Struthio camelus: one gene and its partner. The protein of the gene in region 1 purifies or fractionates together with the protein of each later gene. This does not show direct contact. Links are inferred from orthologs where the notes say so. Each region holds a gene or a part of one and is shown in the gene's direction. Other genes may lie near its edges.

Region 1 (7,282 bases):
ATACATGAAATAATATTTGAATTGCTTTTGGATTTCTTACAGGGTTTTGTTTTAATTCTAAAGCCTCTGAATTGGAAATGTCTCTTATTCCTTCTCATATTTTTGTTTTTCTTCTAAATAACTTCTTGGTATCGCGCACAAAATGGAATGTAAAATGCTTAAGTGAGTAATTTGTTAAGCTCTGACTAGAATGTAAAAAAGAAACAAAAACCCCAACATTGTCAATAATTCAATTTTTAACTAAAACATTGACTTGTAGTAGAGAGAACAACAACTTGTTTTAGTTTTCTCACATTTTCAGGTTTTCATTAAAAGACACAAAAAGGGTCTTATCTACTGTGAGACCTTCACGTACTTCATGATGATACTATTCCAACTTAATTCCCACTGACACCTTCCCACTCCCCCCTTTTCTCTCCCCTAAAGGAGGGTGTTTTGCCCTCCTCTGACATTTGAAGCCGCAGTACCATCTTCCTACAGGGCTGGTTTTCTGGGCTCACACGCAGCTCAGAATTATACCGAGAAGACTCAACTCAGTTTAGGAAACTTTTCATGCCATGCCACCCACACAAGAGTCTGGGGCTTTCCTCACCTCTTTGGTCTTGGTATACTTCCCTTTTTTAAGTCGGGTGTCTCCAGCCACTGTGGCAGTGGGTGGCCTGCAGGCTTGACTTGTGACTCTTTTGATTTACTTGATGCAATAAGCTGATATACAGATGCCTGGAAGGGTTGTCAAGGTATGCTTGCTACACCTAGAAATTAAGCAGCTTTTGTGGGCTTGAGAAACTCAAGTCCAGGCTTGAATTTTAGGTCCTTTACTTGGCTGTGTGGGTGCTGCAACATTCCCGTAAAGGTTTTCCCCGGGGTAAATATCAGGATTCTTCCTTCTTCAAAACGAGCAGTATAACAGTGTCAAAGTGTGTGTTAGCGGCTGTACGACTGCGGAAAACTGAAGCGTCTCTGCACTAGGTATTTGCAGCCTCTGTAAGGCTGCTGTAACTTTATTGCCCACGGTGCTTGAGCGTTTTATTCGCAGGCACAGGGTAACGCAGGCGGCAGAAAGGTCAGAGCATGATATACCCCACGAAGGGGGCAAGCGGCGCAGGCAGCTGTGCTTGGCAAAGCCGGAGAGCAGCGCAGCGGAGCGATGTTTTACTGCAGCTCTTTGCAGACTGGAGGCGCAGGAAGGCTGGCGCCCGCTCTCGGTTAGCAGTTCTCTTTGAAACAGGCAACGGATGGACAGTTCAGCGCTGGTGGGAAGGTTCAAAAGGAGACCGTTGCACAGCGATGATCTAGGTCATGCTTTAAAGCGTTTGTTTAGGAGAACACATCTATGAAATGGGGAAAAAACAGAGAGAAACGTTAAAAGGCTGTGCACAGTGCCGGTTGCCGTTAGAGGCTGAAATTTTATTTTCAGAGCATCCTATTTAGGAAAGAATCCGTCGTTGCTTCAAATGTATTTATCAGTCTGCAGTAATTTATGCCATGTATCTTTTGCTTCCATGGCAGATTTTTGTGGAAGAACGCGACTGTTTTGAGGTTTGGGCAGGTCAAGCCCTGCGCTTTCAGAAGAGCCCTCTGTGAAAGCACACTGAACGCGGCGTGTGTTTGCGTCGCGATGCTACGGCCCCTTGCTCTGTGCTGAATAATTCGGATGAAAGTAGCTGGTGGGAAGAGTATCAGGGACTACAAATAATTCGATCAGATTTTGGGAGGGTATTGGATAATGTGGGGCAGCACGCAGCAATGGGCCTCTTTGGCTTTGTGCCCTCCTTGGGATAGGGCTCCAGTGGCAGATAATTCTCATGAAATTTCCAGAAAGCAACAAGGAGTCACCTAAAACCAGATGAATATTCCCTGCAAAGGGATGGTGCTGATAGGTTTGAACTCAGAGGACAAAAAGTGCTTCCCCCTCCCCCCACTTCTTTTTTAAACCTTTATTCATTTTTAGCAGTCAGCAGTGAGAAAGAGGTCTATGCAACAGTTGCCACCGGGAAAGCTGCAAAACAGCGTGATCCCTAGGAAGCTGCCAGTATTTAGAAAAAAAAGAGTTTGTTGCATCCAGCCTAATTTGCACTTTAGAAAATTCAGTGAGAAGTTCACATAGCCTTAAACTTTGCATGTGTGATATCCCTGCCCCACAGAGGAAGCCAGCACCCTTTTCCCCACACGGGAGAGTGTTAATAGCTGTGTCCGATGGGCAAACGTGGGTTCAGAGCATTTTTACGTGCTTCTGGCTAGTGGTCAAACAGAATTTGAAAGCCGTTACCGCATCCAGTGATTTTACTTAATAGCTGGTGTGGACGCCTGGATTGCTGGGAGCCGTCTCGGGATCGTCTGGAAGCTTATTGAACTTCTGATTTGATCTTGGAACTGCCGTCCCATTTAAATAAAGGATAAGCATTAGTCAAGAATGATTAACTTAAATTATTAGATGTTTTAAGATGTCATGTGCTTCTTCAGTAAGCAGCCTTTGAAAATTAAAATAAAGGTCATCAGGCAAGCCCAGTTCTGTGGTTAATGCTTTTTCCTGGTTTGATTTGATCTAGTTATTTAGCTCAGGCATTTATAACCTTCTAAGGGGACAGCCTATCAAGTGTACATCAAGGGAAAACAATTCTGCATAGCACACCACCTACTCATGGCTTGGGATTTATCTGGCACCATGAAAATTGGCTTGGTTTGGGCCGTTGGGTGAGAAGAGGCAGTCCTGGCTGCAGCCGGTCTGGGCTTCTCTGATGGGTCTGGCACCAGGTGCCCTGAGGACCAGGAGGAGAAGCTAGGTGGAGATGTGCAGGATCAGCTGCTGAGCACGTGAGCAGATGGAGGAGGAAGAAATAGGATGTGTTCAGAAAACAGGCAAGCAGAAGCAGCATGTACTCAAAAGCTAAAATCACTTTGTGCCTGTGTACATTTAAACCATGTAAGCTTTCTAATGCTCTGTCCTATCCCCGAGTAAATTATTACAGGAGGCTTTAAAAACACTGAGGTTTCACAGATGCAGCGTGTTGATGCTCCAGTTATCTCCTGTTTCTCAAACAAATCTGAAGGCACTGTTGTGCTCTGAGCTCAGTGCTCCCTTTTCAAATGACAAAATGTCAAACTGCTATCTCTCTCTCTTTTTTTCTTGTTGTAATCCTGGGTCCTAATTAAGCGGTAACTGTAAGAGCAGTAACTGCAGCAATCATTTCTCTTTGCACTGATCTAATCTGAAGCCTTGAGCAGCTGCAGTAGTTATGCTACGAAGGATTTTTCCCCTTTGGCATATACTGCGCAGGCTGTCCCTTGACTAGGCTACAAGTGCTTGGAGGCTATTGATTTTTGTTCTGTTTTATGAGAGTGTTTTTTTTAAACAGTTTAATTTCTCCTGCTTGCGTTTGAATTGTTGGGTAGCGAGAGAAAAGTATTTATGCATCTGATTACCCGTTTATCCAGTCAGAGAAGCTCTAGGATAACTCGAAAATCACTGGTTTCTGAGTGCCTGCAGATCCTGTGCTCTGTTGCGTTGCCCTCGTCCTGTCACATCGTAAAAAAGGTATTGCTGTAAACGTTAACAGGGTTTCTTAAGGGGAAGCGTCGCTGCCGGGCGGCTTACAAACATCCCAGAAACACTGCACGTATGAAAATTGCTGTACTATGGAAATAACCGAGATTTTTCATTAGCCCGATTCGGGCGTGTTGCTAGGCAACGCGGGGTAACGAGGGTTTACGTGGGCTCCGCCTGTAGATACTTACAGTCCTCGTGCGCCTTTCCAGGTGAGTAACGTAGACTTGAGGTAAGCTAATCGATTGCAACAGAACAAAAAGTTAGACCCCCGCAAACTTTAATTTCACTAAGAGGAGCTTTTGGCGGAAGAAGCTGGAAAAGACCCAGAGCTGACGTAGCCTGTTTGATTTCTTTTCCCCTTGCGCTCGGACCAGCCTTGTGTTTAGGCAGGCTTTTGTTTCTGCCTGCGAGTTGCTTTAAAAATTTGGGAGCGTGTCTCCGGGTGTCGCCGGCGGTGCGCGCAGCTCAGCTGGCTCCGTTTCCTTGCGAGCGCTTTGTCCTGCCCACCACGCGCAGGTCGGTTGTGCAACATGCCCCTACCGTTTCAGGGGGAAAAAAAAAAGAGAGAGAGAGAGAAATGCTGAGTAATGCCAGAGGTTTCTCAAATGGCTGATGCAAACCTGGAGAATTTGCATCATCATTCAGCTGGAGTAACTTGGTATGACAAGAGCTTAAATACAAGTCCACGCGGAAGCCGAGCTGGTTTCCAACGATAGGGCAGGACCAGCCAGCAGCGTGCAAGCGCAGGTGTTGCTGAGCAGGGCTCCCCCGACCGCAGGCACCGGGAGCCTCCTACCTGGGTGCAGGGGCAGCTACAGGAGGCAGGCACCAAGTGGTTCGTTTCACACGGAGGAAGGGAGGGGAAAAAAAAAAAAAACACCACCCTAACAACGACCCTGAGTTTGTGCTACAAACTTTTTGCCTGCGCTTGCCTTGGCTGTGCTGGGGGCACTGTAGCATGTTCAGGAAAGCTGCTGTGACTGCAGCCTCTAATGGAAACTACTGGCGGGGGCAACCCAACGGCAGGCTGCCCTCCCTGGACAGCGAGCAGCCGGCCCAGGAGGAGAAAGTGGTGCTGAAGCAGAAGGTGACGCTTTTGAGGGGGATATCCATCATCATCGGCACGATCATCGGCGCCGGCATCTTCATCTCGCCCAAGGGGATCCTGCAGAACACGGGCAGCGTGGGCATGTCCCTCTCCGTCTGGGCCGCCTGCGGCATCCTCTCCCTCTTCGGTAAGTCACCCCGGAGGGGCCGCCGCCGGATTAGCACTGTCACCGGCATGATTTTGCCATTGGATATCGAAGTGCAGTGCTGAGCTTGAGGACCAATGGGGCTGCAGGAGTTTTTTTGCGATTGGATAGGTACTGTCCAGGGCGCGGAGGCTTGCGGTCGCTGCTACCCCTCGTGCCTCCCCTTGCAACCGGAGCCCTTTGGAGAGACTGTAAGCGCAAACCGTGTTTCTTATGGGTCCCAAAAGTAAGAGGAAAAGGAAACGTCCAGTGTTATGGCAGAAAGTGTGCTGTATGTATGATGTTTTTCTTCAGGCTGTAAGACGTAGCCTAGAGTTTGCTTGCAAGGTGCTGGGGATACGGGCCGCTCCGTTTGGACGCTGGTGAAATGTTCAGGCAGTTGGACTCAGTTCCCCCCAGGCTAGATCGAGCTCTGGGAGGAAGAACACCTGCTGGACATAATCTGTATCGGCACGAAAGGGAGCAAAACGATAATAATGACCACCCCCCCCTCCCCGAGACGTGGATTTCTGCTTTCGCTTTGTTCCCCGCTCGCGATGCTGCTTGGAAAGATTGTGCTGCAAAACGTGGCGGGACAGAAACAAACTCCTAATGAGAGTTTTATTCCTGACCTGCCTATTGTGACAGTTTTTACCAGTTTTTGCTTTTAACGGGGTATTAAACCCCGAAGAGTGCCGGTTTATTTGTGGCGCGCGCACAAAGCCCCCGTTCAGAGCGGGAAACCTCACCCTTGCTGCTGAGGAACAGAGGGTCTATTGACCTCCTTAATGAGTTAATCTCAGAGAAGCTGAAGAACTAACATGAATATTGGCTTTATTTAAAACACAGACGGCTTGTTTTCTGGCAGGAGGTAAAGAGGGCAAACACTGACGAACACGTGTCTGCTTCAGAGGTGGAACATGCAAATGCCACCCTGTGTAAATTGGCTCTGAGCTTAAAAGAAGCATTGACTGTTTAAAGGAGAAGTCCACCCAAGCCAAACAGACAACGAAGGAAAGTTAGGACCCGTTTCGGTCAAACGTTAAACGTATTAGTACGATGCACAACATAGTCTGTTGCCCAAAAGTGGAAGTCCTGCTTGTAGGCAAAATCCCCCTGTAAAGGAGGACCTCAAATGCAATTTGTAACCCTGTCGTGCGACTCTGGTGTTTAGCTTTGGTTAAAACAGAACTTGCTTAAGTGTTGCCCGTTTAGGTTTAACTTTAATAGCAGTGATTTCGTAGCTGTGAAACACAGTTTGTAGGAAAAAATCAGTCTCTTTCATCAAATGGATTTTCTAGACCATTTTCCAGATCTTGAGAGGTGAAGAACTGTACAACTCTGCCCAGTAAAAGATACTGCCTCTCACTCTAAATGGATTTTTACAGTTACGTTTTCATAATTTTTATGTCATTAATGTATTTAATTCGCTGCATGACTTAGAGTAAAATTTCATACAAAGATCACTGATCACCTGAAGTCTTGGTGAGGCTCTCAGTGAAACATAATTTGATTTCATCCTGAATCTCTCCCAAAGAAGTTGCCAAGAAAAACCCCATCAACAGGTTTCTTAAACGCGGCTATAGAGTTGCTTTAAGCACGTTTTCAGGTAAGCTGAAGAATATCAGACAAAAGCTGCCATCTTTTGCAAAGCCCCAAGCAAGGCAAATGAACACAGGTGGAATTTGTCATAAAGTCATACAGCCCTAGTGGGCTTGTACGTGCTCTCCAGTTTGGCAACTGTAGTTCTCATCTTACAGCGCAGTAGCATAAAAGCACGTAGGGAACAAAGCCTAAATGACTTCGCGTACTTTGTTGATTTTAACTCTATGCGATGAGTGTTTGCAAACTTTATTATTGTTTTCCTGTGGCTTCTCAGGCGCTCCTAATAGAGTTGCCTGCATTTATGAGACTTGGTACACCTCTGCTCTACTGCCGCGGTCCCCCCGCAGAGCGGAGCACCAGCGGCTTCGTGACTGGATGATGGCCCATTAAGCAGCAGTAGCAGATGGTACCCGGGCCAGGATTGCTTCATGCAGGCCCCTACAGCTGCAGCCTGCTGCTGCCGGCGCTGCGAGGGCAGAGGATGCAGGCCGTGCAGGTGGCTGCCTCGGGCCGAGAGCTGCTCCTGCTTCACCGACGGGTGAAACAGGCCTCCTGCTAAGGAAACGTGAAGCTGTCCATAATATTTAAGGCAACGCAGAGTTTAACTGAGCTTTGATTGCGTTAGTAGTATGCCCCCAACTGTGCAAGCGTTGAAAAGCCAGGGCTAAGCCGTTCCCCAAGTCTTCTGCGTAAGGCGTTGACAACACTGCTGAGTAAAATTGTTAATCTGCAATTCCTGCTTCAGGATTTTGGTCAGTCGATTGCTTCACCCATGGCAAAGGATGGGGCATGCAGGCATGCCAGGCTTTCCTTCGGAGCCTTAACCTGTGATCGCTAGTGCTGAAAGCAGGCAATCATCCTGTGATAGCAAGCTAACGCGTCAGAGGATTTTCACTTA
Region 2 (7,514 bases), on another chromosome or scaffold:
GACGAACAGAAAGATTAGTACAAAGATGGCAGTTCAAGCTCTGACGTTCGGATTTCCAGGTTCTTATCCCGTGGTGTGCGCTGGGAAGGACGAGAAGAGGAGAAAGAAGGGTAGTGAAATACTGAAACCAGCCACAGAGAAAATGTATTTCCCCTTCTTCCCTTGAGTGAAGGGAAGTGATGTAATAAAGCTAAATGGGTATATGGTGTGAAAGTTATGCCTGGTGACTGGTGCTGGGACTTCCTGTCGGCACTCTGCCGCAAGCCATGCGGGCCAGTCAGGGACCAAATGCTTTGGGCTGCTTGCTAGGAGTAAGAAAGCTGGTGGGGCCACATGTTTTGAAGTGGAAGGGGGCCTTGCTGCAAAGAGTTCCTTACAGAATATTTGAACGAATCTGGCTGTTAGAGTTTTTTTACTGTGTTGGTTTAGTGAGTTGTTGAGGGATCTGGGGCAAACCAGTAAAACAAGCTGAGGAATCCATGCAGTAGGTGCCAATCTGGGTTGCTGCCCTTTTCAGAAGTAAACAACTAGGAGCCATTGTTCATCTTCCTAACTCTCTGCAGGACACAAGCTGTAAATTACATCTGGGAACAAAAGGTTGATGGGAGTAGAACCGGGTGCCCAACTTCCCAAGGGAGCGCTTTGCCCTCCAGCCAAAAGAGTAGCTTTTCTGGCTTAAACCAGTACAGGCTCTTCTTATACTTTCGCATCAGCAATTAGAGCCCACAAAAAGTGTGCAGGGCAGGATTTGCTACACTGAAGCATTTACAACCATTTCCATTACAAAATCTGGTTTCAGGGTTGATCATGAAAATTAAATCCGGTCTGAACTATAGCAAATAAGATTGCAGTCTAGGGACGCAGGAGCAAATCTGATTCAAAAATACCATATCTTATTGAGATTGCAGTTAAATGCGTGTAAAATCCTCCTCCTTCCTTGAAATTGTCTTACAATCAGTCTCTCAGCCCAGCTGCAGTCTATGCAGAATGCACGCTGCCACTACCAGAGTCACCTAATGAGATCTGTGCTGTGTATATGCGCTGAGATTATGTTCTACAGCTCCCCATGAACAACTTGAACTTTTCAGAAACAGAAATGTTCTGAAAAGGAATTTTTTTATCACAATATTTTTGTTTCTGCTGAAAAATAGAAAAGAAAAACGTTTTTCAAACTAGGAACTTCATTTTTACAAGTTTTTGTTTTTGCAATAAAAACCTAAGCAATTTTGACAGAGACAGAATTCCGTTCTTCCTCCCTAAAAATTGCTTACATTTAGCAATGTAAGCGCAATGTAATGTGATAGTGAAACCATTCTCCATTGGTGTATTTTTGTAATCACAATTTTAGATGCATTCACTTACTGGTCTGTGCGCATAATAAAATCCACACAAACGTACATTATGGGGAGATGCTGCTGTACTGAAGACAGTAGAATTTTGGCCTTTGATTTCAGCTAGTCCCGAATTTCATCCTCTAAGGGAATTCCAGCAAAAATATCTTTTTATATTGCTGTAAGCCACATAAGTTCCTCTTCTAGAGCTCCAACACATGCACTCTCTAATAGGATTTTTATCAAAATTAATTGGTGCTGGCTAGAGTTCACTTATGTGATAAAATCACAAATGAGATATTTTAGTGCTCCTGTACTACATTACACCATCATAGATTCTTTATCTGCTGTGTCAGAGGCTTCATTAAATGCTTCAAGAAGCATTTTTAAATTGCTGGTTTCTTAACATTTTAGTTGTATTATTTCATTCTATTATGAAAATCAAATTCTTTTAGTTCCATTTATTAATTTACAAGTTTTCCTTGCCACTAATTTAACTGCTACTGCCAAGAGAGTAAGCAAATTCCAAAAGCGCTAACATTTAAATATACAATCTGTGTTGATAACAATAATCCCACGGGAACAAATCCACAATGGGAATAAACTGATGGGCTCAACTTAAAATGATGCTGCGTTGCATTTTCTCAGCTGAAGATTTACTTTAGGATGCGTTCCTATACCCTAAGATTATCTTTAGCTAAAAGAAAAGCTACATACTTCTCAAAAAAAAAAAAACCTATGGTACCCCTCTCCCAGAGCTGTCGACTAAATTTTCTGGGTAGCATCAGGCACTATGCCTGGGCTAAATTTGTATTGCTGTCTACCTCAGGCCATCATATTTTAGGGGAAAAATTCCATGTTTGGGTGGGAAAGAAGGACATATTTTTGTGTCAGCTTTTTTATTTATTTTCTTAATGGCAGCTCTTTGAAGTGCTCAGTAGGTTGGAATGTTAGCGTATATCCTTGGCTAATGAATAACCAGGCAGATGGCACGTGAAATGGGCAAACTTACATGTTATATACATACAATTCATTACTTAGGTCTGTGGCATATCACATGAAATGCATACTATGATTAGTTATTTTTCTTGGGCACCTCTGTCTCTCTTGCATTAGGCGCTAACCCATCTGTGCACCTGGTCTAAACATGCCTAATCTCCGTACAGCTTTCTAGGACTGCAAGCAATAGAAATATTTTCCAACCAATCTCCTCCCCAATGTGGAATCCCCCCACTAAAATAAGTAGTGAAATGTCTAACATGCATATTAAATAATATTTAGTATTGAGAAAGTAACCTGTTCATAATCTGATATCACAAGGGCTGGAATACAGGAGCTTTACACCATAGAGAAACTAGGAATTTTCACTCCTGGTGAAATAAGACTTTTGCCTCTGTAACACTTGCCTAACTCCTTGAAATGATCGTTATTTTCCATTTACCTATGGTAAAGAAAACAGACTTCCATTTTCATTCCATTTCATTGTGAATACAGGATTATATGTTCACCAATTTTTTTTCTATCAAAAAAACAATACTGAAAGTTATCTAAATTGTAATTAAATATTCCATTCTTTTGTTTCATACACAGGGGTGAATTTTAAAAGTCATTTAGCAGTTGAAGAAAAAGATATGCTTAGTAAACTCAAAATATGTATTAACTGTGCTTTTTAAAATCTAGCCTCTAGGCTTTATTCATATATTTAGACACCCACATAGCTATTGCTCAGAAAGTACAGGAATACACCAAACTATGTCTTTTGCAGTACAGTAAACAGTAAGTCATATATATAGATCATTTTTTCTTTGCTCCTCAAGCCGTTTGTTTCAAATGAAAAACTAACATATTCACTAAATAAAACATGTTTCATCCGCAACTTCCAAGTTGTAAGCTTCTTAATAAAAAGATCCCCTATGTTTTAAGGAAAGCTTTTCACTTTAACCGTGTCCCATCAGATATCCTAACCTGTAGGAAGAGCCTGTTGGAACCTGTTGCTAAAAATGTGCCTGTTTGAGGAAAGGATAGCCAGCCATCTTTAAGACAAAAGTCAAAGAAAAGTCAAAGTTCTGAAATCCTCATTGTGTAAAGTTCTCGTGCCTGTGGTTGGGAGGACCTGTCAGTATTTTTCCATTGTTTGTGTTAAAAGCGATTAAAAATTAATGAAAAAAATCCTTAAAAGTGGGAGGATCAACACAATGGTAATATGATACAGCGCTTTTCATTTCAAAGTTGCTGAGTGAAACTGGAAACAGGGCACTAATGACTGTCAGTCATTGCCACGTGTTGGTTGTTAAAGGTGAGATGGAAAGGGTTTGGTGATCCCTGACCAGCCCCTAATTCCACACAAACCGCTGTCGTAATTCCACAGCTCAGAAGAGAGGCGAGTGTATGGAGTAATTACGAGAAATCACCTTAGGCGCATAACAGATACACCTTTCCCTTATCTACATAGGCTTTGAGGTGTTCACCAGGGATTTCGTGTGGCATCCTTTGCTAACTCTAGACTTGGACAAAACATATGCACATATAGTCCTCAGGAACTTCTCCGAAAGTCACACTATTGTACGTTCTCCTCCTGTTTCTTCATTTTGGGAATTAGGAGTAGGAGGACTAATTCCTTCTATGTCTCACACTGTAAATACAAGAAATCAGAGACCTAAGTCCTCAGTATTACTGCTGGCACTGGCATAAGGTATCACTTGTATTGGAGCAGCCTGTGCCAAGAAGCCAGCGAGCTTGTGGAGACTGAACTACCTTGATTTACCTACTGTAAATCCCTCTGAGAATCTGAGATCCTCCAGATTCCCCCCCCCCCCCCCAAAAAAAAGGTTCATTGCAGAGCAGACCTTTTGCTTGCCCTAAATTGTACTGAAAAAATGAGAAAAAGTGGTATGAGACAAAATAAGCAAAATATTTTGGGGAAGCATCCAGGCAGTTGTAGATGCTTTGCTGGGGTTCAGAACGTGTGGTGCTTTACTTTCGCCTGTTTCGCAATACAGGTCAGAAATCAGAATAGAGATCAGAAATAGTCCCTTTCTGAGCCTAACTCGTGAGAGATTACACAAATGTTCCTGCAAACGCTATTGATGTAACTCATGACAGTACTTGTGTAAGTCGAAGAGGTTTAGTGCCTCTTTAAAACTCGAATGTGGCTGCTCGGGCAGGAGAAGTAGCCTTCCCCCCCTCCCTTTCTTCCACTGCTCCGACACTTTTGTTGCAACTATGGGTGTGACTTTTGATGGAGCTCCCCCTCCCAGTTATGTCATTACTTAGTTCTTTGAATCAGAATAAAAAGTGCAGCAAACTTCAGACTCATTGACTGCAGGCTTAACAAGCGTCGGGGCTTCTTTCTGTAGCCTGCAAGGATCTCTGGTTTTTGCAAAAACAATTCTGAGAAAAAAATGGCCAGCTTTCCTTTATGGGCAACTTTTGGATTATGCTTGCTGAAGCTTTGTCTAACAGAGACAGGTAAGTTTTGTATGAATGAAAACTCTTATGATTGCTAATAAGCTTATGCCTCAGACAGCAGCAGTTATTCAGCCAGATAGCTAACAGCTTCCTTGCGTCTATCTTTGTATAGAGTTTTATTATTTGTTAAGAGTTATCAGAGATGCTTTAGTACGGGAAACTTAGCTGTACAATCAAGTAAAGCTGTGTATTGCCTGTAAAGGGCAATTCCAGTTCTATAAAATGTGAATTGTAGATCATTAAAGCTAAGTTTAAACTAGGAACAGAAATACATTAGGGAATTTAGAACAGCTCTGGTAAAGCTCAGTTCAACAATGTGACTGCTGTTACATACGTAGTTTGCTCTCTTGGCTCTGTTTTAGAAAGTTGAGAAAAGGGGGGGTGGGGAAAGCCTCCCCCCTCGTCCCAGCGTACAATAACTGTATTCTTGGGTAGACACGGGCTGAGCTAACAGCTAACACATACCACGTTTGGATGTGGCCACGCTGAACAGAAACAAAGCTGCAATCATCTGGGGCTGAAATTTTGAGAGCTGTTATGCCAGGCATGCTTGTTTCTGACTTCTTAAAGTTTCTTTGGGGTTTACTGATAATATTTCAGACCAAAGGGGTTAGAAGTGACCACAGACTTGAGCTGTTTATCCATTAGCTTTCTGTAGTTCTGTTATCTACTTCAAATATTTGTATTTAAAAGTGAAACATGTTAATATAGGGGGAAAAATAAAACCTGCATGTCCGAAACGGCAAAACGCTCCTGAAATTTGACATGGTGCAGGCTCAATAGTGTTTGAGGGAGATGGCCATGCTTTTAACAGGCTCTCATTGTGACAGCAGCTGCCTTGAGGCATTTTGCGGTTAGGGGTAACAATTATTGTTCTACGCTATTTTTCCACTCATCAGTTCCAGGAGTCCAGCAGAATACATTTTTCATTGCGCTTGTCACCCACGGGCTCTGTGCCTGTCTGTATGTGTACAATACATATATATCTGGTTAGTTGGAGCAGCAGCAAGTTAGTCTATAATGGTGGCAATCTGGCCAAGCCATGAATGGGTGTGTCAGAAGCAACGTCCCAGGCCCATCTGTGATAGCTGAAGGGCTCTCCTTGCTCTTCTTGCTAAAATAGACTTATCAGTGATATTAAAAGACTCTTGCTAAGATCAGCTTGATGGATAAAGCACTCAAAGAAAGGGCGGGTGGTTCTGTAGGCACATGAAGTATATCTGAGATGTGTTTAAAAGTTTGACTTAGTCCAAGTCTGCATACTGTATAAGGCTTATAATGATTTTTTTTTTACTGCTTGCTCAACTGATTTTCCCTTTTTTAAGCTGCCAGGAGCGACCTAAAAAAGCGGAGTCTGCACTTCCTCTGGGAATAATACATTTTTACAGTGAGACGTAAAAGAAAACCCCATCATCTAGTCCTCAGTGCAGTTACAAAAAGCATGTCAAGCTTATGCGCCACAGGGAAGTTTCTTCAATGGCTTAGCAAGCTATTAGATTATAGCTGCAATATATTTTAGTTGGTATGTGGTGCATTCCGACATGACTTTGCAGTCAGTAATGACTTCAAAACAGCCGTTGATGGTGGTTTTCTTTTTTAAATGAGTAACTTTACTGTGCATCACAGAATACTGACCATTTCTTCTGGCACATACTTTGCTTGAGGAGCAAAATTCAGACCTGTTCCTGAATTTTGATTCTGTATAGCAGAATTTCGCAAAATTGGAAGGTCCTAGAATTACTGTTAATGTGATTGCTAGAGGAAAGACCAGATCTAGAGAGCTGCTGAAAAAAATGATTGATTCAGACTGTCCTGAGTTCTGTGCTGCTGTAACTGTACTGTCACTGATGTCTGAGTGAGGTGAACGCATGATGGTGACATAACTTTGTTGTCTAAGCAGTCTGAACAGAGCCCAGGAAAATATAGATGCTGACATCTTGCTTAATGGGGGTTCTGGGGGAGATTTTCCCCTGGGGGCATTATATATTTGTAAAAATATTCCTCTCAAAGTTTTCCTTGATTAACACAAAAGCTACTCTAAGAATTTTGTCCCCAAAACTGGAAGTAGTTGGAATGGACCTAGAGGAAAAGGTGAAATGAAAAAAGGAGGGAGAATGGCACCACCAGTGAGAGAGAAAAGTTGGGCTATTAGCACTGGAGAGGTGGCCAGAGCTTCAGTACGATGTAAGGCTGTGAGAAAGGGCTACTATACCTATCAGCTGGTCACAGAGGAAGGGACCTGTCTGCCTTTTAGCTTATATATCTGTCATGTAAATTTGTAAATAAGGCAGCGTGAAGAAGCTCTTTGTGCCAGTTTATTTTCACATAGTCCCTACAGTGTGTATCTTGGCTAGTTTCCCAAAGCTGTAAAGTAACTAGACTTTATTAAAGTTCAGTTGAACTGCCATCATCCTTTAATGGAAAGGTTATATATCTGCCCTTGAACTGCTCTCGCAGACAGAGCCAACAAATCAAGGCAGAAGATTACAATCTTTGGAGAAATGTTTCTACTTCTTTAGGTCACTGCTGTTCACCACAGAGCAGAAGCGTTGCCTTGAAAACAGGAAGCCTCAGAAGGAAGCTTAATGAGGGATGAGAGCATCACAGAAGTGACAAAAAACTTCTTAAACTAAGTGCTTTTAAAACCACTAGTAGTTCTAGCCAAGATTAAGTGAAATGTTTCCCCGTACCTCGCGTGTCTCCTTCCAGAACTGT

The links.
Region 2: the proteins of SLC7A11 (region 1) and CD44 purify together in Homo sapiens (affinity purification with western blotting; 3 studies listed by BioGRID and IntAct, with this or other methods). This does not show direct contact. The link is inferred for Struthio camelus from reciprocal best matches to the Homo sapiens genes SLC7A11 and CD44.

The regions. Positions count from the first base shown.
Region 1 is NC_090945.1:32,140,480-32,147,761, reverse strand, and holds the start of SLC7A11 (cystine/glutamate transporter), read left to right. Parts: upstream 1-4,188; 5' UTR 4,189-4,505; coding exon 4,506-4,782; intron 4,783-4,938; exon of another isoform or gene 4,939-5,013; coding exon of another isoform or gene 5,014-5,071; intron 5,072-7,282. UniProt on the Homo sapiens protein: Heterodimer with SLC3A2, that functions as an antiporter by mediating the exchange of extracellular anionic L-cystine and intracellular L-glutamate across the cellular plasma membrane.
Region 2 is NC_090946.1:34,247,382-34,254,895, forward strand, and holds the start of CD44 (CD44 antigen), read left to right. Parts: upstream 1-4,455; 5' UTR 4,456-4,732; coding exon 4,733-4,799; intron 4,800-7,514. UniProt on the Homo sapiens protein: Cell-surface receptor that plays a role in cell-cell interactions, cell adhesion and migration, helping them to sense and respond to changes in the tissue microenvironment.